Linked DNA regions of Drosophila melanogaster. The protein of the gene in region 4 purifies or fractionates together with the protein of the main gene of each other region. This does not show direct contact. Each region holds a gene or a part of one and is shown on either strand. Other genes may lie near its edges. The genes, in order: mTor, Lst8, unk and raptor.

Region 1 (5,467 bases), on a different chromosome or scaffold from region 4:
GCACATTTAAAATAACTCCTGGATTCGATTCCGGCTCATGCAACTTGGGCACTAAGGCTTTGAGGATCGGATTCATGTAAGAGGATATTAGCCTGGGCGTGCTTATCACCAAATGGTCAAGCATCTTTGCGCTCTGCTCCTTGTTTCGACTCATTCCCGAGTACTTTAGATCCGTGATCAATTCGATCATGGTGGTTCTTAGCTTGGGCATCACATAAGCCGGGTTTATGGACGACAATCTTCCAATGGTAACCATTGCCAGCTCCCGGATCTCAAAGATTTCATCGTGCAGCGTAATAAATAGCGAATTTAGAGACTCTGGCTGAGCAAGCTTCCCATCAAAGGTCTCGTCCAGCGAACGTAGAATTCGTATTCGCACATTACAGTCCATATCAGTAATGGCTACCATAAGCAGGCGCTCAATCACGTGGGAAACGGTGTCGCTGAGGGTCTTGGAGTTCTCCATACTTTCAGAGGATTGCACTGCCAGTTTAAGGAGTCGTGTGCATGTTTGCACTGCCTCCAGACGAATCTCCTGCTGCTCGTGAACGATGAAGTAGTCAGCACATCTGAAAAAGAAATCAAACCTTGTAATATAACTAAAATATAGTAAATTAAATTAAATTACCGTTGCACAAAGTCCAGCATGTTTTGCTCCTCAAAGTTGAAGGTACCCAGCGTTTTGAGTGCCAGCACTGTGGTTGCTCCGTCACCATTCTGCATTAGCGAGCCATCGATGGCGATCGTTGGCAAAGCAGTGTATGGTAAAATTGCCGCCTTGTTCATCAGCACCTGGGATAGGATTCCGATCAATCCTTCTGTAATGGCCGACTTAAGCTGCGGCACATTCTCGGAGAGTTCCCTCAGGCAAACAGTCAGAGCTGGCGAGAGACCCGTGTAGAACATCTGCTCAAGGATATCCTTAACATCGTCGGCGATCTCCGACTTAACGGCATGAGCAAGAAGCGTTATGCAGGCAAAGACCGCAGGATCCACTGGTACCTTTCGTTTGCTGGTCAAATCCTTTGACGGCAAGGCGACCTTCACGCTAGTCATTATACTGGATAAATGAACTTCGATCGCACTCTGCACCGCTACAGCCATGTAACCAATGGTTATGTACGCCACCGTGCGATCCTTCTCCTTGCCTCGCAGGATCTGCATTAAATGCGACACGCATGTCTGCAGGTATTTTTCCACAAACACCGCGCGGTTAAAGGCAGCCAATCGAGGAAGTATTTGAAGGAGTGCCTGCTGTACATACGGAGACTTCGAAGTTCGCTGCTCCAAAACATTGTCGCAAATGGAGGTGTAGTGCTCCTGAAGGATCTCCTGAGCATATGCGGACTCCAGTACGTTGTGCTGCTGGATGTCGATATTATTAGTTACTTGCTTAAACATAACTAAATAGTTTGTATTTTAAATTAACAAACATTAAAATATCTTTTTTGTAATGAACAAATGGAAAATATACTATTTTAATACAAACATGCTTGTCTAAATGATTGCCGCCCCACAATTACTACTGGTAACGAATCACACTCTACTGCTACATTTTACACAATTTTTAAACTATAATTAGGTCAGCTGATTTCCTCCCGTCAGGCATCGCTTGGTTTTTAGATACATGTAAAGTACATACTACGTAAACCAAAAGGTAAATAAATGAAAATGACAAATACATTCGTGTGTGGAGGTATTTGATCGTTAGACTCACGCTCGCGAACTTGGCAACTCCTTTGTGATGCTCTCCCTCACCCAAATGCGTTTGGGTGCTGCCGAGCTTGTCAATGAAGGGCACCTTTAGCCGCGGCACTAGAGTATTCAGCTGGGAACCCATACTCGACGAACTGCTGGCCTCCAGGAACTTATTGTGTTGGGTCTTGGGGAACAGCGTCTTCAGAGACGTGTAGCGCCGCTCCCAGGTGGCATTGGCACAGCGAAAGAGCTCGTTGAAGACGACGAGGCCACCGTGAATGCGATCGTCTCGGGTCACGCCTTTCTGATCCTTGCTAGAGCCCAAGTCTGCATTGAAGCTTCCATTCGCCTCGTCATAGCAGATTCTGTACCACTGTGGTTCACTGGACTGCTTGGTGCTCTCTCGCTGAGCGGTGACAATCAAAGCCGCCCTCAAAGCCTCGCCAGCTGACTCTCGTATAGCAGGTTTGGGATCGAAGATGGCGTTAAAGATAACCTCGAAGAAGGTCAGGATGTGCTGGTAGAAGTATGTGGGCAAGGCGATAGCCAGCTCACGGAGGATAAAGACGGCTGAATGGCGGCGGTACTGAAAAAAATAATATATAAATGAATTTGGATAACTCTAGCCATGCTTACAACTACTATTTTCATTTTCATTATAAAGTTTTTCCATCTTCATCTCAAAATCAGACTTAAAAGCTTAATTTGTAGGTTTCCCTTATAATTCACCTCTTGTCTCTCGCCTCTGAGCACCTCAAAAGCCTTCTTAATATCAAAGTCGAAGGAATCGGCGCCCTTGGAGGTGGGCATGTTGGCCAATTTGACCAGGGAGCGGGCGGCAATCTCCATGACGGACACATCGTTGATTAGCAGAAGATCGCGCAGGCGGTTGAGATAGGGCGAAATGCCCTTCCTGGCAGTAAGACTGCCCTCGCAGTTAATCAGGCACTCTGAAAGGGAAGACGTTAAATCCTCTCAAGCACTGCCGGGGAGCCAGGAACTCACTCATGGCCAGGGCACCGCCTTTTTTCTCGTTGATATCTGTCGCATTCACCATCGTGAAAATGTGATGGTCGAACTCGTCGAAAAATTGGGCCAGCTCCTCCTGGGACATTTCGCGTAGCTCGGTCTTCACATAGAAGAGCAGATCCTGGGTTGCCTTGTTCTGTACATTCCGGTTGCGGGACTTAAGCCCGTTGACGAACTGCTGCACCACCGACGTCGTCGACATGGCTGGGCAGGGTTTATTCACTATTTAAACGCGATTTTCACTTGCATTTGGGAGGGGAAAGGGTGGAGCAGGTGCATCTGCCTGCTGTCTACGGACTTTGGAGGTTATCTTTTCAGTTGCCCCGGGGCGCTGTACGCACTGTTCCACTGGTCACTCGATAGGATTTCATGTGCCGGCACCGGTGCCGAACGATCTCACACGGATGCAGGTCCTTTGCTTTCTTTAATTGCGGATTACTTCGGTTTTTACGGAAATTTATTGCAGCCGCTGCCGATTAGTGATGTAAAACAGAATTCGATCAATTTACAATCGATATTTTCTTGCTGATACTTCTGTACTTGGCGGCGACTTATAAGCATTTAAAATGTTAGAGAACATATTAAATAAAAATAATAAAGTAATTAATAAATTTGTTCTTTATTATAAGCAATTAAAAAGAAATTGGCTTAAAGTTGTGGTACAAAACATTTATATTACTGGAGTGAACAAGTTGCATTGAAGAATTTGGAAAATAGCACAAAAATGCAAGCTTATGTTAAATTTTTAATAATTACCAACAAGTATTTCAAGATTTAACTGCGGAATGTGCTAGTGGAATCCGACTATTAATGTATCGTGACGTGCGTGAGTTTGATGTGAGCCCATCTCTATAGAGAACCTGGAGCCCTCGACGATAACCGATAGATCAATACTAGAGTGAAATCAAAAAAGCAAGAGAATTTTCATAAGAGCTGTTGAAACAAATGTGAGCTTATTTAATTTTAGAGCAGCTGAAAAAGCAGTTTTTACGCCACAAAACCACTGACCACAAGGTGTTGAATGAAAAGAAAGTGTGAAAATTGCTTTTGTGATGGGTAAAAGGTGGAAAATTCACCTTGCCGTTGGTGGCATGTGTGAAAATTGTATTGGAAAATCGATGCTGTGCTGCGGGGGTGTGAAGCTTTTCACTGGGGGCTGCTGCTGCACATCAGCGCCACCTATGCGTTTCCTCGCGGAAAACGCTCTCTCATTCGGGGGCATGGAAAATGCGTGTTTTTGTTTATAAGAAAAACGGTTACTTTTTCCCACAGCCAACGAACGATTTGACCGTTACCGAAGCAGAAGAAGAAGAGCAGCAACCGCGACCATGTCCAACTTGAGGAAATTCAAAGACGAGGAGCGCGAGTCGGAATATGGCCGTGTCTACGCGGTATCCGGACCAGGTAAGCGACGTCACCAGCGTCCTTCATGCGCTGACCCCCAAGTTCTGTAATCCTTAATCCTGCCTTTCTTCTGTTCTTAATTATACTCCTCCACATCTTCCTTTTTATCCTTCCTTATTATCCTTCTCCTTTTCATATTTCTGTATGCTTTCTTCCCCCTCCTCCTGTTCCGCATAATCTTCCTCATTATGCTGCTCTCTCCACTCCTTGCTAATCATATTTCTCCTGCTTTTCCTCCTTCAACAACTTTAAATCCACTTCAGTGGTCACCGCTGAGGCCATGTCTGGATCAGCTATGTACGAGTTGGTCCGCGTCGGCTACTACGAGCTGGTGGGCGAGATCATCCGTCTGGAGGGCGACATGGCCACCATCCAGGTGTACGAGGAGACCTCTGGCGTGACTGTCGGCGATCCGGTGCTGCGTACCGGCAAACCTCTTTCCGTGGAACTTGGACCCGGCATTATGGGCAGCATCTTCGACGGCATCCAACGTCCTTTGCGGGACATTGGTGTCATGACCAACTCCATCTATATACCCAAAGGTGTCAACACAACTGCTTTGTCGCGCTCGGAGATGTGGGAATTTAATCCGCTGAATGTGCGGGTGGGATCCCACATCACCGGAGGAGATCTGTATGGAGTGGTACACGAGAACACGCTGGTGAAGCAGCGCATGATTGTGGCACCCAGGGCTAAGGGAACCGTTCGATACATTGCCCCCGCGGGCAACTACAACCTGGAGGACATTGTCCTGGAGACGGAGTTCGACGGCGAGATAACCAAGCACACCATGTTGCAGGTCTGGCCAGTGCGGCAGCCACGTCCCGTCACAGAGAAGCTGCCAGCCAACCATCCGCTCTTCACGGGCCAACGCGTCCTTGACTCGCTCTTCCCCTGCGTACAGGGCGGCACCACTGCCATCCCCGGTGCCTTTGGCTGCGGCAAGACCGTCATTTCGCAGGCAAGTTGCAAATTATTCACTTAATCCACATCTTACATCTCATTAAATGACCATCCCTTCCAATCTGCACTTCAACCACCCGTAGGCCCTGTCCAAGTACTCCAACTCTGATGTGATCATCTACGTCGGTTGCGGCGAGCGCGGTAACGAGATGTCTGAGGTACTGCGTGACTTTCCCGAACTGACCTGCGAGATAGATGGCGTCACCGAGTCCATTATGAAGCGAACTGCTCTGGTGGCCAACACCTCCAACATGCCGGTGGCTGCTCGTGAGGCCTCCATCTACACTGGAATCACTCTGTCTGAATACTTCCGTGATATGGGCTACAACGTAGCCATGATGGCTGATTCCACCTCCCGTTGGGCTGAGGCACT
Region 2 (3,891 bases), 3.5 Mb from region 4:
TTGTGATATCGGCTCAGAACAAGAGTCGCCAGCCAGTGCGCGACTTTCAGTTCGAGGCCAGCGTGAAGAAGGTGAGCGAATCAGAGCTGGAGAAGATTACTGGTCATCGAGGTGACCGGACTAACAAGCTATCATTCTATTCCGCAGCCCTGCAAGGTGCGCCTGTTGACGCCGACGGACAGCCAAATGCCGCCGCACAAGCCCTTCCGCCCGGCCACGCCCATCAACCAGGTGATGCTCCTGCTAAATCCGACAGGCAAGGCCGTGGACGTAACATGCATTGTGGGCTACAAGCTGGGCGACGATCCGGATCCCATCAAGGAATCGATTGTGGCCAAAGGCATTGACTATGTGGACTAAAATACCCCGACATATAAGTATCACCCGCTCCCGTCCACTGAAAGCGCAGGAGGAAAATGAAAAGAACGAAAGACAGTCAATTTTCCCGCATCTATGTTGTGCTCCCCATTATCTTAAAGATACTTTTGGTTTTTCAATTTCTGTATTGTATGTGTATGTACGCTGATAAGATTTTTATTCAAATTGCATTTTGCATACAAACGATTTAGTCGTAATATAATTATGTATCAAAGGTTTATAAATTATGAAAAAGTCGCTACAAAAGCCAAGCGCTCATTTTCAGAGGTATTCTCATTAATCTGTTCAATTGTTGTGTGGATGTTGTTTTAGTTGATGCTTCAGTTCAGTTCAGTTGTCGTGTTGCCCATATATGGATTCATTGCTACTCTCCCCACTGTTTCAAAAAATGCCAAATTATTTGTTCCTGGCGGATTGTCTCGCTGGGTTGGCGGTTTTGCGGATGATTGTACATCTGAGATATTTGTTGATTTAACTGGCTTAAGATAGATCGTAATTAAGTTCGGAAGTGAATTAATGAGCACTGCTGGCAGTTTTTCAAACATTAAGGATATCAATTTTTTTGAGACTATGAATTACCATTTTATATATATGCATCTAATTGGGAAACGTAAGCTGAACTAAAACATTGAGTCTAATTAAGAGTAGAAACTAAAACCGCGATGCTTAACAAACCATTACAATTGCCATTCATTTTGTGTGGACTTAAGCCAGCTAATTGGTAGAATGACTAAAACTAGTAGGCCAATCTTTGGGGAAAGCCAAATGAAAATCCGCCACCAGGAGCCACTTACAAAGTGCCTAGACTCTAGCCGCTAGCTACTACTACTACTACTACAACTACTGCTATTTGCCCACGATCTCGTCCTTGAAGGACAGGGCAGTGATGGCCTTGGTGTGACCAGTATAATCCCTAATCGAACTCTTTGTCTGCAGCTTCCACAGTCGTGCAATGCCGTCGGATGAGGCTGTGAACAGCCATTTAGAATCGGCGCTAAAGGCGGCATCCCACACCCAATAGTTCTCGATGCACAGCTCGCGCCATTTGCTAAAGTCATCCGTCTTCCAAATGCACACAGTGCCATCGCCGGATGTCGTCAGCAGTAGCCTGGAATCGGGACTGAATTTGCAGCGCAGTATGTAGCGAGAGTGGGCCGGAATTTTCCTGTTCGGCCGCAGCGTGCTCATCTTCTGATCCTGACTGGTCAGCGACCAGATGTAGCAGTTGCCCTTGTTATTGGCCGCCGCCAAGTATCTGCCATCCGGCGAGATGGCAACATCCTGAATGGATGCGTCCACCTCGGGCACGATGCGTTCGTGCCGCTCCGACTTGACGTCCCACAGAAAGACGCTGCCATTTTGTGAGCCCATGGCGATCTCCACCTGGTTGGGATGCAAACAGGCGGCATTTACCGGCGCCTCACAATCAAAGATCCGGGAACAGTGTGGCGGTGCGGCAATCATGTCCCAGATCCGCACGTGATGATCCTCGCCGGCGGTGAACATCCAATTGCCGTCCTCTTGGAAGCCAAGTCGCGTCACATTCTTTTGCACGCCATCGAAATTGATCACCGGTGCGGTGCAGTTGGACTCCAGGTCGTACAGCCGGATGCACTGGTATCCGCACGCCGCCAGTCGCGTCTTATCCGGTGTCCTGTCTAGCGCATTCACTTGCTGCAAGTTAAAGCATGTTCGTTAACCGGAAAATGCACGAATCGGTTTATTCCTACCGAGGTCTCCACGAATCTCATCGTCTTAATGCAGTTGCCCGTGTGCGCCTGCCACACCTTAATGGTGTGGTCATAACCACCGGTGGCCAGGATCAGCTGCTGTTGGTCCCCCATCCTGTGATTGCACAGATTAATTGACAATTTCCGCGTTTTTTTGCCCCAATGTTTTCATTTCACCAGACCTATCGGTCCATTGGTCCTCGATACGCGCCTATCGCGCTTATCGATAAGTGGCGCGGTGCTGGTAAGCGCGAAAATATATTCTTATTAGAATAAAACCTAAAGCGCAGCAACAAAATCGTTTTCAAAAAACACTATTAATTGATATCAGTATAATTTTAGGTTTTATTACAAAAATGCGTACTGATTTACATATCAAGTCTTTCTTTTATCCGCATAAATAATCATTAGATTAGATATAACACAAAAATTATGTCAAATCAAAAAAATTTTAACTGAAAAATTTTGATAATTTACGGTACCTGGTTTATATAATCGAGATATTTTCCATATAAAGTATTATAGAATTATCTTAATAATATTTATTATCCCAAAACTCGGACATTAGCAGAAAATAAAAAAAAGAAACTGACGCAGCTTTGGTTATTGGGAAAAATGTTTATTGGTTGAATAACTTAGCAACTGGGATTAGTCCGGGACCAGCGTAACGTACAAGGATTGGGTCTGAGTGGAGTGAGCGGCGTTGGCCATCTACTGCTGTGCGGTGGGAGCAGTTTCCGCTGCCGTGCGGTTGGCATCCTCCGGTTTCATGGCGGGGAACAGCAGAACCTCCTACAAAAAAAAAGAAGCCTCATTTAGCAACGCTTGCAATAAGTTAAAGACCAAGTGTAGACCCACCTTGATGTTGTTGGAGTCCGTGAGGAACATGGCCAGGCGATCGATGCCCATGCCAAAACCACCGGTGGGCGGCAGTCCGTACTCCAGGGACGTGCAGAAGTTCTCGTCGACCAGCTGGGCCTCATCATCGCCGGCCGCCTTGTCGCTGGCCTGCTGCTCGAAACGCTCGCGCTGCACAACCGGATCGTTCAACTCGGTATACGCGTTGCAAATCTCCTTCTTGGCCACAAACAGTTCGAAGCGCTCCGTCAGGCCGGGAATACTGCGATGGTACTTGGCCAGCGGCGACATGATCTGCGGATGCTCACAGATGAACGTTGGATTCACGCAAAACTCCTCGATGAATTCGCCGACGAGCTTGTCCAGCAGGCGGGCAGTGGTGCGCGGAGCTGGGCACTCGACCTGGTGCTTAGCGCACAGCTGAGACAGGAACTGATTCGTCTCTGGCGAATTGAAGGTGTCGGCCGCGGGGAACTTCACCTGCAGCTTCTCTTCCAGCGTTTTGATCATGGATACGCGCTTAAAGGGCGGCGTAAAGTCAAGTTCTTGCTCAGGTCCCTCTGGACCCTCCGGATGATAGATGACCTTGTAGGAGCCACGGATCGCTTTCACCATTCCCGAGACCAACTGCTCGGTGATATCCATAATGTCAGCGTAGTCGGCATACGCCATGTAGAACTCGCACGTGGTGAATTCAGGATTGTGGGTGAGGTCGATGCCCTCGTTGCGGAACTGCCGTCCGATCTCGTACACACGATCGAGTCCACCCACCACCAGCATCTTGTGATACAGCTCCGGAGCAATGCGCATGAACAGATCCATCTTGAGGTCATTGTGATGCGTCACGAAGGGCTTGGCAGTGGCTCCACCGGCGATCATGTTCATCATGGGCGTCTCGATCTCCAGGAAACCCAGACGATCCAGG
Region 3 (8,210 bases), on a different chromosome or scaffold from region 4:
TATACAAAATACATGTGTCATCTATAAATATATATGTATGTAACGTACATATACTTTTCGATCTGGTTTCTGTTTGATTCTTCACAGTTGAGATGGCGTGAAATGGATTTCTTGACATGTTGTAAAATTGCTTTGCATTGGTTTGTTTTGGAATGGGGTTGAAAAAACGCGTAGTTCGATAGACATCCCATGTACATCTCGTGGAGATTCATAAAGTAAATTAGCAAATCTTTCAAACTGTGTCTCCGGTGATGAGAGTCAGTGATATTCTGAGAGAGGTATGCATTCAGTTTTCAGTTTAGTTTGGTAATACACACAATAGATTTGCGACTCAACAGCTCCATTATAAAACCAATTTTCTCATTGTTTGTTCTCGTGATTTTTAGTTTTTTTGTGTACACTTGTATCATAAACTATTAAAGCATTTATAAGTTAACACACAATTGTTTATTGTTATATTTATTAATTATTTGTATTTCTTGCTGATTTGGCTTCTACAAAACATAGTACAAACACACACAGAGATAAGAGCCTTTGCGCTGCCTTTCCTAGTTAGCTTTGTAATAATATAATTCAGTTTTTCATTTGTATATATATATTCATAGTGTTGCTTTTGTTTCAAATAAATGCCTATGTTGATTTCATATTCATATTCAATTCATTCCCAGAACAGTTTCATTTTGATTACATCTTTATCAATTCAACTCAACTAGCTAACAACACGTTTCAGTTTCATTCAACATTGTCCAATTGATTACGTTTGATAATTTTAATTCGCAGAAAAATACAATGGTTTTTGAAGACGGTTTTACATTAACTCTGGTTAACATTTTCATTAAACTCTGTTCATTTCGCTGTATCGAGTTACTTTTATTGTTTATGCTTTCAACATCACACTCATCGAATCTGCGTTCAAATTTCCCATAAATATATATCTGTTCATATTCGTTCTTGTACAATCAGCCAAATGCTGGATTTAATATGACTTAAATACTACGTTTTGACATTGACGATTCATTTTATGCTTTTACTAATTTGGAAGCGTCCAGTTGAGACTATGAAAGTAAAATGAAAATTGAAGTCATCTGCAAAGTAAGTACTTAAAGCACTATTCAAATCACAAAGTAACCTAATAGATTATATACGTAAGTTGATAATTTTGTGACTGGTTAATTGGCATTGGCTTACACGAGCTGCACCAAGGCCTAAACAAAAATCAAAGTGTTTTAATACATTCAACTTGGTTTTCAATAAGACAAAATGAAATGAACTTTCGATAAGGAAAAGCGTTGTCGCCTTTAGTTACTTCTCGTTTCAACGTCTATAATTACTTTTGTGCATTTGAAAAAGGAAAATAAAAGCTGAGTACTGACTAATATTGATTACCCGTCAGTTACATTGATTTTATGACCATTGTCTTGGCTTTTAGTTGTAGTTTGCATTCACAAGTTTGAAACACATACATAAAAAATACAGTTTGAAAATCGGCTTATATAAAATCACTGGTGGTATTTGTTTGTTTGTGGTTGTTTTCTGCTCTTCTATGCGACAATATATTGTTAAATTTGTTGGTTTCTATAAATTTGTTAATAGTCAATTGCTAAAAGTGTCTAGAAAAATTAATATATTATATATTTATATATCTTTCATTCAATTACATCTTGTAATTGTTTAGTTCTCATAATTTCTTATGTAATACTAGTGAAAAGTACAATATGACTGAAAGTGTAGCATATTTAAATACAAATATAGAGATACATATGTGGTTAAAAAAAAAATAAATGAGACATTGCAAATTCGTGCAGTAGATTAGAAAATATGTATGCCTAAACATTGAATATTAAACAAAATTAAAAGAGTTGGTTACATAAATCATAGTACAAAATCAATTTAAAATGTTTTTTCCTGTATTCGATTCGATATGAGAAAAAATAAACAAAAATAAAATTACATACTTATTCGTTTAGAGCAGCTAGCTAATTCAATTAATAGTTTGTGCCTAGTAATTACTAATATTCATGACGATAATTTGCATATTTTGAGTAGATTGAAAACATAAATTATATATTCCCTGCCACATGCACAATTAGTAGGCATGTGTCAAATCCTAACTGTTCAAAAGTTTCAACGTTTTGCTTAAGACTAAAGTTTGCTTTGTGAGTACCACATTGTCATGCTGTTCGCGGTCTTGATCCCCATGATCCATTCATATCCCATCGGAATCCCCTTTCCCATCCCTATCCGATTTTCAGCCAAAGGGCCACTTGTGGTCCTGTTGCTGATAAAACATGTTCTAGGTGTGGGTGGTTATTACCGGCACCTGACAGTAGGGACACTCGGTGACCGATTCAGCGCATGTATTGCAAATAGACAGGTGGTTGCACGGCTCCAGAGTAACCGTGCGATTGTTCTCCTCGCACTTCATGCACTTCTTGGCATTTTCTAAATATAATACTTTGTCGACCTCCTCCAAGTCGGTGCGCAGCTTGGACTAAAATGGTAGCAGGTTAAAACCCATGGAATTGGGAAATTAATTAAGCGACTAACCTGCAATTGCTTCAATTTCTGTATGGACAAGTCCCGAAGCTCTGCTGGCAAATTTAGCTGTATCTGTGCTAGGTCATAGCGCTCCTTCCACTCCTGCGCCTCCTGCTTGGCCTTGTCCCGATGGAGCTCCGCGATCTTTAGCTTGCATGCCATGTCCTCGAAACGTCCGTTCAACTTGTGAATTTGAGCATTCTTCGTGAGCAGCTCATTGGTGATGCGACCCAAGTCGCTGTTGTTTTGCGACTGCAGAGATTGAAGGCTAAACGCATTCTTGGCCGTATTGAGAGTGTTCTCGAACAGACTATTTCCCACCGAGCTGCTGTTGATGTCGTCGCGTATGGTATTCAATTCGGATATCCTTACCGAAGGACTAATCGACAAGCCATCGCCAAAGCCAGGCGATATGATGCGCGACGGAAAGAAGAGACTGCTATCGTTCTGGGTGGCCGAAAGGGAATTGCTGAGTTTGTTTGAGCCGCCATAGTTGAAGGCGTCCACGTTGAAGAGATTGGCATGGTTGGTGGGACTGTAGGTGAGCGAGCTGCTGGGAATGTTGACGGCAAAGCTACCTGAGTTAAAATCTGTGCAAATGGAATGGAGTATTAGCATTAGCAATTAGTTGGCACTCATAGGACGTTGATGACTACTTACCGTTAATTGAGTTACTTAGAGTCGTATTAGGAATGTTAATTGGCGCCGAGGAACGTGTTAATAAGCTAGTATTGGCCAGACTCGCCGACAATGAGTTCTCGCGCGGATCGTCCATTGAGCAAGCTGCTTGCAAAGAGTGAAGACAAAAAATTATTGAATTTCAGTTAGGCTAGGGGTCACGACATTTGCTATCTAAGCGCTGACATTCTTTGTCCACAACCAAAACGAAGAACTGATTTCTAGTGTATAACTTAGACGTACGCATGTCAGGACTCTGGGATACTCACAACGACTGTCCAGGGGTCGTGAGAAACTTAAAAATTTGCTGAAATTTGTTGTGTTTTCCAAAGCGTCTACCAACATTTTATTGGTGCTATTACCATCAATGTTCAACAACTAAGAGAACAAAACGAAAAGAAAAAAATCGAGGAGAGCAGGACACATGATTAAATGGCTTATCGAAAGTGTTAAGCAGTTAGTTGATGATGGTTAGCTGGATTAGAGCGGCAAACGATGTGTGGTAGTACGTTTAGGTTTAGGCGATGCAAATCGATGGCGTTATTTGGATGAGTGTTATTGCTTCGGTAATACGTACATTATCGACCCTTTGAAACGCATCCTGAGCTTTTAAATCAGGATAGGCATTGGAAATAAGCTCGTTTAGGTATACCGTGTGATCCCGCGTCTTCTCGTCAATTGAACATGCTTTATTTGGATTGGGAGTAGTTACATGGACAAGCAACACCGAGCGGCAAAGCAAACATTGATTGATGTACGTGTTTTCAAAGGATTTGAGTGATAGTTGGAAACAGATTTGCGGTTTGATGGATGAGGCGAGTAAAAGACAAACATTAAGTTAGAACTGTAATATCATAACTTGGCCCTAAACACATCCCTACAACAACTGGTTGTGGAGCACAACGCTGAGTCCTATATATTAGCTCATCGAATCCTCTATACTTACGTTCCACATGGGCAAAGGCGCAGAAGACGCTGCGCGGACAGTATCCGGCCTGCTGGACATCGTTGCACTTGGTCGACTTGTAGATCTCCGGGTGGAACTGCTGCTCGGTGCGTGTGTGGCAGTACTGGCAGTTATCGCCGGCCTCGCAGTTGCCCGGTTCTCCCCATTCCTCGCCGTGCTTGACATTGGGGCAAGGAGTGGACCTAAAACAATGGTATATCGCGGTTTAAAACTGACTTTAGGATGAATTCAGGGGAAATCTTACCTGTACTTGTATTTTCTGGGCGAGCGACGTTTGTCCTTGCTATTGTGGTACTGTGGACAAGCGTATCCTTGGCGGCACAGGCGCGGTGGGCGCTTGCAGGGCTCTGTCTTGTAATTGGCCAGCACGTAGTTGGTGTCCTGCCACTTGGGATCCTCGTTCATCAAATTGCGCTCCTTGTCCAGGGCATTCAAAGCATTAGTGCTGTCCAGTGTGCTCTCTGCGTTCTGCAGGGTCTCCAGCTCTTTGATGTCATAAACCGGTGGGCGCTGGTCCTGCATGCCGTGGGCGAAGGCGCAGTGTAGTCCATTCTTGACGCAGTATCCTCGGCTGTCGGTGTCGTGGACGCACATGCATGTCTTGTAGTAGCGCAGATGGTATCGCCTTTCGGTGTCGCCAGCAGTGCGGTGTAAGTAGGGGCATCTAAATGGGGAGAAAGGGAGTTTTAGTGACGTCAAAGCAGGCGACGAGGCTAAGTGAATGGACTGTATGATACCCATTAATTAAAAAGAACCGTAACAAAAAACAACAAAGTTGTACATTTACAGCAAAATCATCATTTTAATACATGTTTGAGGGTATTTCTTTAATAAGTAAAAGAAATTTCTCTTTCAAAACTAAAACCGCTTTCTTTCCACCTTCGTACCCTGTAAGGAGACTACAACGATAAATGGATAGAATGGAGGTCGGGGTCAGAGGTTGGACCTCGAGTCTGGGTCATAAAAACAGACATTGTTGTTGTCTCTCGCAAAGCGTAATTGCGTTTTACTTTTAGCCCGTTCTTACACTTCACAGAGCTTTTCTCCAAAGCTCGCCAGCCACAATAACTGTACATTTCGAAGCTGCCGGGGGAAAATCAAAATAAACGAAGAAGAAAACACGCAAAAGCGAAACGCAATAAAAACAATGACGCACACACTTGTAGCGATGCCCTACGTCTGTGCGTGTGTTTGTTTGTGCGTACCTGTGTGTATGCGAGCGTCTGTGCATGTATACATGCGACAAGAGAGCAACAACCACCACAAAACGGATGCTGATAAGAATTTGCTAGCCCACTAGAGCTGGAATCACTTTCACTTTTGCACGGTGGTGACCTCGCCTGCACACACATACACATGCACAGAGATACAGCAAGCAGCACGCCCACATACGCACTTACAATTTCACTTTTGGCTTTCCAGACAACGCCAGGCCCCTGCCACCGCCCCCACCACACCCCCCTGCACACAAACACACTATGGTTTTTGTTTGTAAACACGAAGACAAGAGATACACACACATCGCGAAGGAAGGAGAGCGCAAAGAGGAAACAAAAAAAATACAACGTCGTTCGCTATTGCTGTCTCATCCATCCTCCGCCACTGCAATCGTCCCGTCCAGCGTTTTCACGGGCCATCAGAAACTATGAATTTCACAACATTTCTACTCACTCGTCGCCCTCGGGACAAATCCCAGTGGTCTCGTCGTATTTGGTGCAATAGTTATCCGCACTGTAGTTGAAGGTGCCATCGCGTTTTCGCACTGGACGACGCCGACGCTGGTTTTGAAAATGCCAATTGAAACAGACGAAGGGGCGATGCTGGTTGCACTTGTGCTGTAAAAACGACTGGCACTGCTCCACGCGGAACTCCTTCAGGTAGCTGAAACGGTTGGCGGAAAGGTTGCACGTCAAATTAACCATCGTTTGCATTAGTTAGCATCTATTTACGTGTAGTGATTTGGTTTTTCCTGCTGCGAGGAAAGCAGCAGCTTGTTCGTTTCATTTGCCAACATCGTTGTTAGTGATGTGCAAAAAACATCGGTGCGTCGGGCATCCATGGCCTTAAGTCGATTGATATCGATAATTTTTGTCGGCATCGTCCATATCGATTGGTTAGCAAATACACACACCCCAGTTGATGGGTGGTTAGCCGGGACGCAAACGAAACAAATTTGGCGCCAAAATTAATGCGAAATTGTTATGCATGTGTTTTATTTATAACAACGCCTATATATTATAACACACATTTCAAAGGGAAAACATTTCGAAGAAGGAAAGCAAAAGCGTTTCTAGTCCAAGGGTATGGGAATGAAGGCGTTGATTCTGTCCGTCTGTCGCTGCGCTATGCATTCGCTAATCCAGACGATATTGCGTACCTCCAACTGTTTAAGTTTAATGAACGAGTAGAAGATCCCGAAATGGTACTGCTGCAGGAAGGTCTGCACATTCTTCTTGGCCTCCATCATGAGAAAGCGGTCCTCCAGCGTAATCATGCCGTCCGAGTCGCGCTCCAAATTGTCAAACATTTTGCCATAGCCATCGAACACATTGCAAACATCCCTTATTTTATCCGTATCATTTAAAGTGGACATGGAGGCCAAGGCTATTTTGGGCAGGTAGCCACAGGTGGGGAACATCTTTAGACGCTCCTTCGGTCTGAGTGTTGGAAGGTGGGCATTATGAGTATAATATGAAGAATTTCATAGCAACACAGATATCTTACATGATATCACTGCCAATAGCGTTCACAGCTATTGTAATGGTCCGACGATCCGCCTCGAAGGACAATAGATTGGTCATCACGTTGGCGGTATTGCCGCCCAGTTGGCTGCAATAGGCGTAGAATTTCTCCAAATAAGCACGATACAGATGGGCACGCACAATCTCCACGTCGAGGTAACGCAACGACTCCATGGGCAAATCGCGTGGCACAAACCGAGCGATGGGCGTGTCAATTAGAACGGCGTCGAAGAGCTCCGCAGAATTCGAGGCCACTTCGATGGCGCCCAGTTGATCGAATTCGCCCAGCGGATGACACATTCTTAGCAGACGCTTCATGGATCGGTGATTGTTTAGGCCAGCGACCAGAAGCGCCACATTATCGATCATGAACGGATATCGTATGAACTCCATAAAGGTGGTCAGCGGCTCCGTCGAATGACTGCGTATGTAGTAGTATTGCTGCAGCAGACGATCCCTAAGGCATCTTTCGATCACCTCAACGGACGGCGCTGATTGTTCGCCACCAAAGATGAGACCGTAATCCGTGCCCTGGATGCTGATCATTACGTCCTCGAGGGATTCACACTGGGTCAGATTTAGATAGTCCGAGTGCTTTAGCATGCCGTTCTTGAATCCGCGCGTTAGGGCCTCCAGGTAGCCATACTCCGTGTTGAATATCATCGACATTTTGACTTATTATTATTTTCGAGCTATCTATTAGTAGGAATTCACACGCCAGGCAACTTTTAAGTGAAAGCAGAAATTGATAGATGGAACATGCGGTGATAGGTATTTCTCGGATGAACTGATTCTGATATAAATACTAAGGATTCTAGATGCTAAAATAATATTTATTAAGCTACAAATATATTTATATATAATATTTAAATATTCGGTGGCGGTATCTACCGATGCACGCTAGATGGCGCTACCGATGGTGCAAGGCTGCCATTCGTTTATCCTTTTTGACAATATGGCAGCGCTCTAACGGTTTTTTAAATTTTAACTTTAAATTTGAAAAGATATTATTTGTTTGGTTTGTTCGTTTTAAAGTGCATCCAACTAGATTATTTTAGTTATAAGAAAATGCACCTAGTTAAAGCTTGCTATTTGAATTTCAGATAGCTATTTATCGGCCCATTCTAACGCAATTTCCGCACATGCGCCTGGAGGATGCTGTACGGAAATTACCTGTTGCTCTGGGCCATTTGTTTACTTGCTGCCAACTCTGTTTGTTTACTCAGTCAACTAGCTGCGCTCGGGCCAATAGCATACTAACTGCAAGTTGTTACACGTTCATTCAA
Region 4 (5,289 bases):
GGCTGCTCCTCTTCCACCCGAACTGCCAGAACCACTCTTCGAGCGACCCAAAGGGTTGCTGGATGATCCTGTTCCCGAGCTTATTGACGCACCACCCATGTTGGATATGGAGCTGGAGCTGGCTCCCCTGCGAATGGTCACATGACGCTCCAGGCTGTGCGTGGAAGACGTCAGATCCCGGGGATCGGGGCACATCACGAACGAGGCGGCGGAGACGTGACCGCGCATGTGTTCAGTTAGATATACTGCCACGAACTGTGACTCGAAGAGCACCACCATCCATTGCAGGGCGGCGGCCAGCTCCATGCGGACCAGCGGCGACATATCCTCGCCGACGGTTTCGAGCATGGTAATGGCAATGATGCGATCGATATTATTGGCCTGTTCCTCGCTACGATCCGTCACGGAGCTAATAAATGTGCCTAAGGCGAAGACGGCAGCGGCTCTCACTTCCGGTATCGAGTCCCGCAGCAGTACGTACAGCTTCTCGTGCGCCAGGTCGCGTGCTCCCGACCAACGCGCCTTCTCAAAGTTCTGCCACAGCATGCCCAGACAGATGGCTAGCCACTGGCGCAGCAGCCAACTTCCGTCGTTCAACTGCTCAAGGCAAATAGACAGTAGGGGACCTTGAAGCGCGCTCGTCTGTCCCAGCAGGAAGTTGTGCACTATGGAGGACAATACAAAGGCGGACAGTGTACGGTGCTCCTTGGAAACGGAGGTGTCCTGCAGCACGGAGAGGAAGTACTTGTATTCCTTGACCAGATCCACCTGGCAGCTGGGATCCACGGCCAGGATCTTGGCCCAAATGAACACCAAAACGGGTCGCAGTTCGCGCGTAGAACTCTGCAGCAGTTTAAGCACGTATGGAAAGATGCCCACGCCCAGGGCGAGATTAACGGCCCACGGACCAAGATCCAGAAAGCGAGCCAGCAGCTCCAAGGCCCTCAGACGGTGCACCTGCGACAGTAGGACCTGCAGCACAATGGGCAGCTGTTCCGGTGGCGTTCTCGACTCCGATTCGCTGTCCAGCCAAACCTGGAAGGCCGTGAGCTGGTGCTCGAAGAATGGCAGCTGGCGGTACGGCGCATTGTGATCGAGAATCTCCGGCAGCTGCTGTAGAGCCAAATCTACCACCAGATCCCAGGCCTTCCACATCGGATGGCGATAACAAGGCGGCAGGGCAGGCAGGGAAACTGGTGTGCAGTCGTGGCTTCGCAGAATGCGCTCGGCCAACAGGAAATTGCGGAACAAGCTGGCCACCAGCAGATCCTGGCGAAACAGGCGCTGAAAGAGCTCGCGAGGAAGTGTGTTCCATGCTATCGTGTCCGTAATGGCGGTGAAGATCCAGTTAAGCTCACCCATCATAGTGCGCCGGTCGTTGACCTTGCCTGCGATAGAATTTAATGGTTAACAGCATTCCCTGGGTGAGTAAAGGTATAACCTTACCTGGAATCTTGTCGATCAGTTCGCTCTGAATACGCGGTACCATGCCCAGCTTTTCTTGCATGGCGTACCACTTGAGCGCTATGTTAATGGGTGTTGTCAGACAGCTGGTGAAAAGATCCGCCGGCAGCTGTGCATTCATCGGAAGAATCTCGTTTGCAGCACAGGCAGCCAGGTGTATACAGTTCTTGTAACTGACCATCTGGTTGGTTAACTGCACCTGGTTGGCGGCTACGTTGGCGGCACCACCAGAGCCGCCCACTAACTGTTGGACACCACCCCTCTGCTGGGCGGCGGCCAGCGCCTTCCCTAGTTCTTCCTCGTGCTGTTTAGCGTATGGCTGAAACGAATTGATGATGATCCCGGCGTTGGAGCAGTCATACACGTAGATGGAGGGCGCTGACATCCAAGTGATAAGCTCGAATATGCTCAGGGGGATGTACTGCGTGAAGGTCTTGTTGAACACCCAGATCTCCCCGTTGGCTGTGGGCTTGGGCACTCCGTGTCCGTTGTAGTGGAAGAGTATGCGCTCCCCCTTGGCGTTCCGGCGTAGGGAGGTGCAGAGCTTCTTAACGTCATCCACGGTGGGATCGTTGCACTTCTTGTACCGGGCCCTTGGCTGCCAGCGTTCGTACTGCATCTGCAGGTTGCTTCCAATGAGTTCCATGGCCTTTGGCGGGGACACCGAGCTGGGATCTATCCAGCACTCTAGCCGTGAGCAGGGTTGGATCTTGACCACGTCCGGCGGATCCACGCCGATGTTGAGGCACAGAACCAGGGCCACACTTGCCGTCTTCATGCGCTCGCGGATGCGCCACGGCTGTCTCTCGTACATCATGGCCTGGATGCGCTCCTTGTGCCTTTTAGTCTGCAGGGAGAGCGGGCACCTGTCGTCGCGGATACGCTCGCCGAAGCATAAGCTCCGAGCGGGCGGCATGCCCAGGATCTGTATTTCCTTCAACCGCAGTTTGATAGAGTCGTCCCGGGGCCATTCCTTTCTGATAGTCCGGATTAGCTCCCTCAAAGAACCGAGGGAGGCCAGTTCCTGGCCGTTGGAGGCCTGAATGTCGGATATTTGCTCGATGTGCTTCACGATTGGTACCAGTGATTGGTCCTGCCTCATGTTGCTAATCACCTTACCCAGGTCGTTCAGAGAGTCGTCCTGAGATGGGTCCCGGCCGATGGCCACCTGGTTCCCCAAGGCGGCGGATCGACAGTGCTCGATGTGCTCCAGTTGCTCCATTATCAAGATTATCGGATCGTCCCACGGGGCGAATACATATTTCTCGTATCTCTTGCGGATTAGGACGCTCAGGACGGCCTCCTTGCTGGAGGCCACCTCTTGATCCGCGACGCTGCCGTTGCTGCTGCCGCTGCTTTCGTCGACTGCGACGCCGACTGCGGCAGCGGCGGACTTAGCGCGAACGGCACTTGTCATGTTCTGCGTGCTTTTTGTTTCTCTCGTTTCTCGCTGTATTGCTTTTTTTCTTTTTCCGTTTGCCGAGGAGAGGGTGCAGCTCAATGCGAGCGATTTCCCGGAGCGATTACGTCTCGGTCGCGGATTCAATCAGCTAAAAATCCCCCCGAGGGGACTCTAGCACATAACCCCAAACACTTTTCGCACTTTCCGCACCTCCACCACCGCCAGCGCCTCCTCAGCTCCGCTCCGCGCTTTTCTGCTTTTCTTTCCACGTTCCTCTTCTCCACGTTTTCCGCCTACGGATCGCGGACCATTTCCCGAAAACGGGTAAAAAGAACTCGGGGAAAACACGCCGCCTGGGCTGATTAGGTCGATGCCGGGACAAAATAAAAACCGTACAACTATAGCGAGCGATCTCCGACGGAAGATGGTGCGCATTAACAGGTTTATTTACTTTCGCTTGGGTTTATTTATTTATGTTTAATCGAATTATATTATACGAAAAGAATTGCGCAGAAAATAGAGCTGGAACAAAAATCGATGATTTTTTCGATTGCACGCTGGCAAGCGGTTTACAACATTGATATCGATAATAAACTAACAGCGAAATGGCCTAGCTGTAATGAATGGCGTTGCCAGATCATTACAAGCTCATTTGTAGCGCGTAATTCAAAAGTTTGTTTTGGTTACATTGACAGAAAAAACTAAAGGACTGCTCACCCGCAAAACAGGATCCTCGTGCAAAGGCGGCGGATATCGTACAGTATGGATGCGATGACGGCCGAACAAACCCGTAGCGAAGCTTTCCGCACTTTTCAGCGTTCTCTGGGTCGCAGTATACTTGAAGTAGTACCACTCCGGATTGTACAACTCCGGAAGTAGATCCGGAAATCGCCGCTGCATCCGTTCCGCCAGCTCAATCAGCTCATCCTCACCCTCGGCCACCAGTAATTTCTCATCTTCAGTGGCATTCAGATGCATCCAGTGCCATTGGCGCAGCTTTTCCAATTCAGCGGTGCAGATCGGCGGCTTCGTCTGATCCAGAATGCGTTTCTTTATCTCTGATAGTCGATTTTGCGCCTGAAGGATAACGGATTCGCTAGGATTTCTAGTTCCGTGTCGGATGATGGTCCAAATTCGCGTCGGATGGCAGCCTTGTCGGGTGAAACGGTTAAAAGAGAAAAATCAGCTGTTCCATTGCCATTTGCTAGCAGTAGGCATCGGTAATAATAAACTAGTAATAGTATAATAACAAATCTAAAGCGATTCTCTGTTTTATGATCAATAAAGAATCCATATGCTTTCATGATTATGAATTCACTGTATTAAGCGAGCGCTGTTAACTGTCACATGGCACAACACATGTTTGTATTTCTAAGCGGGTGCCTACTGTGGGTGCGTTACACAGAAAACAACAAAAATACAAACCGGCGTATTTCGGTGGCGTTTCGTCATAATTTGCGATCGCTCTGTAGGGCGTCTTTGTGGACAGTCTGCCCTCGATATCTGCGCGATTAAGGCGGCGGCACTCCCCCTCTTCAGACAACGTCACGCCCACGAAGAAGTGGAGGAGCAACAAAAACAAGCAGTAAAATTGGCTTAGCATCTTTCCGGGCGGTGGAAAAACTTGTCACGAGATTAGAAACGAGGTTTACCGAAAAACGGGGTTAAAACGTGAAAAACAGAACGAAATGCCAGCTCAAAAGAAATCTAGGAAATAATAAACACGAAAGAAAAACAAATTGACAAGTGTGCTAGTCGCGCAAGGTGGCAAGGCTATCAGCTCAGCTGGCAGCCCTAACACATGGGGCAGCCAAAAAAAACCCGTTTCCACCGCCAGTTGGCGGTATTTTTAAATAGCATCTTCGATGGCATCAGTTGTAAGTGCTTGGTTGATTACTCATTTCAGGAAGCTTTATTAACACTATTTTATAATAAATTTAGTTAGATTTGCAGGTGCCTAAATCAGCGCATTGCCACTCAACAAGTGTTCACTTCGCCCAATCGAGCTTTCTGCCTCAAAAAGCTCTGTTTTAACCGGCCCGGCAAACTAAGCGATTAAAAAATGGTTTAGTCGCACGCCAAACACGCAAAAGGAATAAGCGTTGGCAAGGGAAGCATTTTGAATATCCTGTCCAAGAATAAAACGAGAAACTTACACACAACTTAAAATTGCAATAAATAATTAACACCCCTGAATTCGTTTCGTGTGGTCACTCAGTTTTTGTTCCTAAGAGTTTCGGTTAAAATTTGTGCTTATCGAGGTTCTCCTCGTTGCTTTTTGGCTGCCATATGGCGCCCAAGGAGCCACAATCCGCAAATGTCAATAGTGAAAAAAGGAATAGCTGAAACGCACATGCCAAAAGTTTTGCGCCAAAACTAAAGTTCCAGGTAACCGGTAGCTGGGAGTAGTTGTCCATTTGGGA

What was found.
Region 1: the proteins of raptor (region 4) and mTor purify together in Drosophila melanogaster (affinity purification with western blotting; 3 studies listed by BioGRID, with this or other methods). This does not show direct contact.
Region 2: the proteins of raptor (region 4) and Lst8 purify together in Drosophila melanogaster (affinity purification with western blotting; 2 studies listed by BioGRID, with this or other methods). This does not show direct contact.
Region 3: the proteins of raptor (region 4) and unk purify together in Drosophila melanogaster (affinity purification with western blotting; 2 studies listed by BioGRID, with this or other methods). This does not show direct contact.

The regions. Positions count from the first base shown.
Region 1 is NT_033779.5:13,002,248-13,007,714, reverse strand, and holds the start of mTor (mechanistic target of rapamycin), read right to left. Parts: upstream 3,236-5,467; 5' UTR 2,930-3,235; coding exon 2,704-2,929; intron 2,649-2,703; coding exon 2,428-2,648; intron 2,285-2,427; coding exon 1,718-2,284; intron 1,366-1,717; coding exon 629-1,365; intron 570-628; coding exon 1-569. Other genes in the region: Vha68-1 (vacuolar H[+] ATPase 68kD subunit 1), read left to right, coding at 4,056-4,131, 4,395-5,092, 5,178-5,467. UniProt on the Drosophila melanogaster protein: Promotes cell and tissue growth, maintains tissue homeostatis and controls responses to environmental stress and aging. Regulates growth during animal development by coupling growth factor signaling to nutrient availability. Central regulators of autophagy.
Region 2 is NC_004354.4:9,603,654-9,607,544, forward strand, and holds Lst8 (Lst8), read right to left. Parts: upstream 2,317-3,891; 5' UTR 2,223-2,316; coding exon 2,109-2,222; intron 2,053-2,108; coding exon 1,225-2,052; 3' UTR 501-1,224; downstream 1-500. Other genes in the region: Gga (Golgi-localized, gamma-adaptin ear containing, ARF binding protein), read left to right, coding at 1-71, 148-360; LysRS (Lysyl-tRNA synthetase), read right to left, coding at 2,820-2,900, 2,967-3,891. UniProt on the Drosophila melanogaster protein: Subunit of TORC1 and TORC2, which regulate cell growth and survival in response to nutrient and hormonal signals. Essential for TORC2-mediated regulation of cell growth and phosphorylation of Akt1.
Region 3 is NT_033777.3:23,151,647-23,159,856, forward strand, and holds unk (unkempt), read right to left. Parts: upstream 6,217-8,210; 5' UTR 6,198-6,216; coding exon 6,133-6,197; intron 6,065-6,132; coding exon 5,855-6,064; intron 4,848-5,854; coding exon 4,428-4,847; intron 4,366-4,427; coding exon 4,163-4,365; intron 3,904-4,162; coding exon 3,794-3,903; intron 3,595-3,793; coding exon 3,486-3,594; intron 3,325-3,485; coding exon 3,199-3,324; intron 3,129-3,198; coding exon 2,548-3,128; intron 2,492-2,547; coding exon 2,294-2,491; 3' UTR 446-2,293; downstream 1-445. Other genes in the region: VhaAC39-2 (vacuolar H[+] ATPase AC39 subunit 2), read right to left, coding at 6,474-6,840, 6,908-7,593. UniProt on the Drosophila melanogaster protein: Essential for late larval/early pupal development.
Region 4 is NC_004354.4:6,086,826-6,092,114, forward strand, and holds the start of raptor (raptor), read right to left. Parts: upstream 3,377-5,289; 5' UTR 2,882-3,376; coding exon 1,447-2,881; intron 1,389-1,446; coding exon 1-1,388. Other genes in the region: Mipp2 (multiple inositol polyphosphate phosphatase 2), read right to left, coding at 3,584-4,017, 4,292-4,469.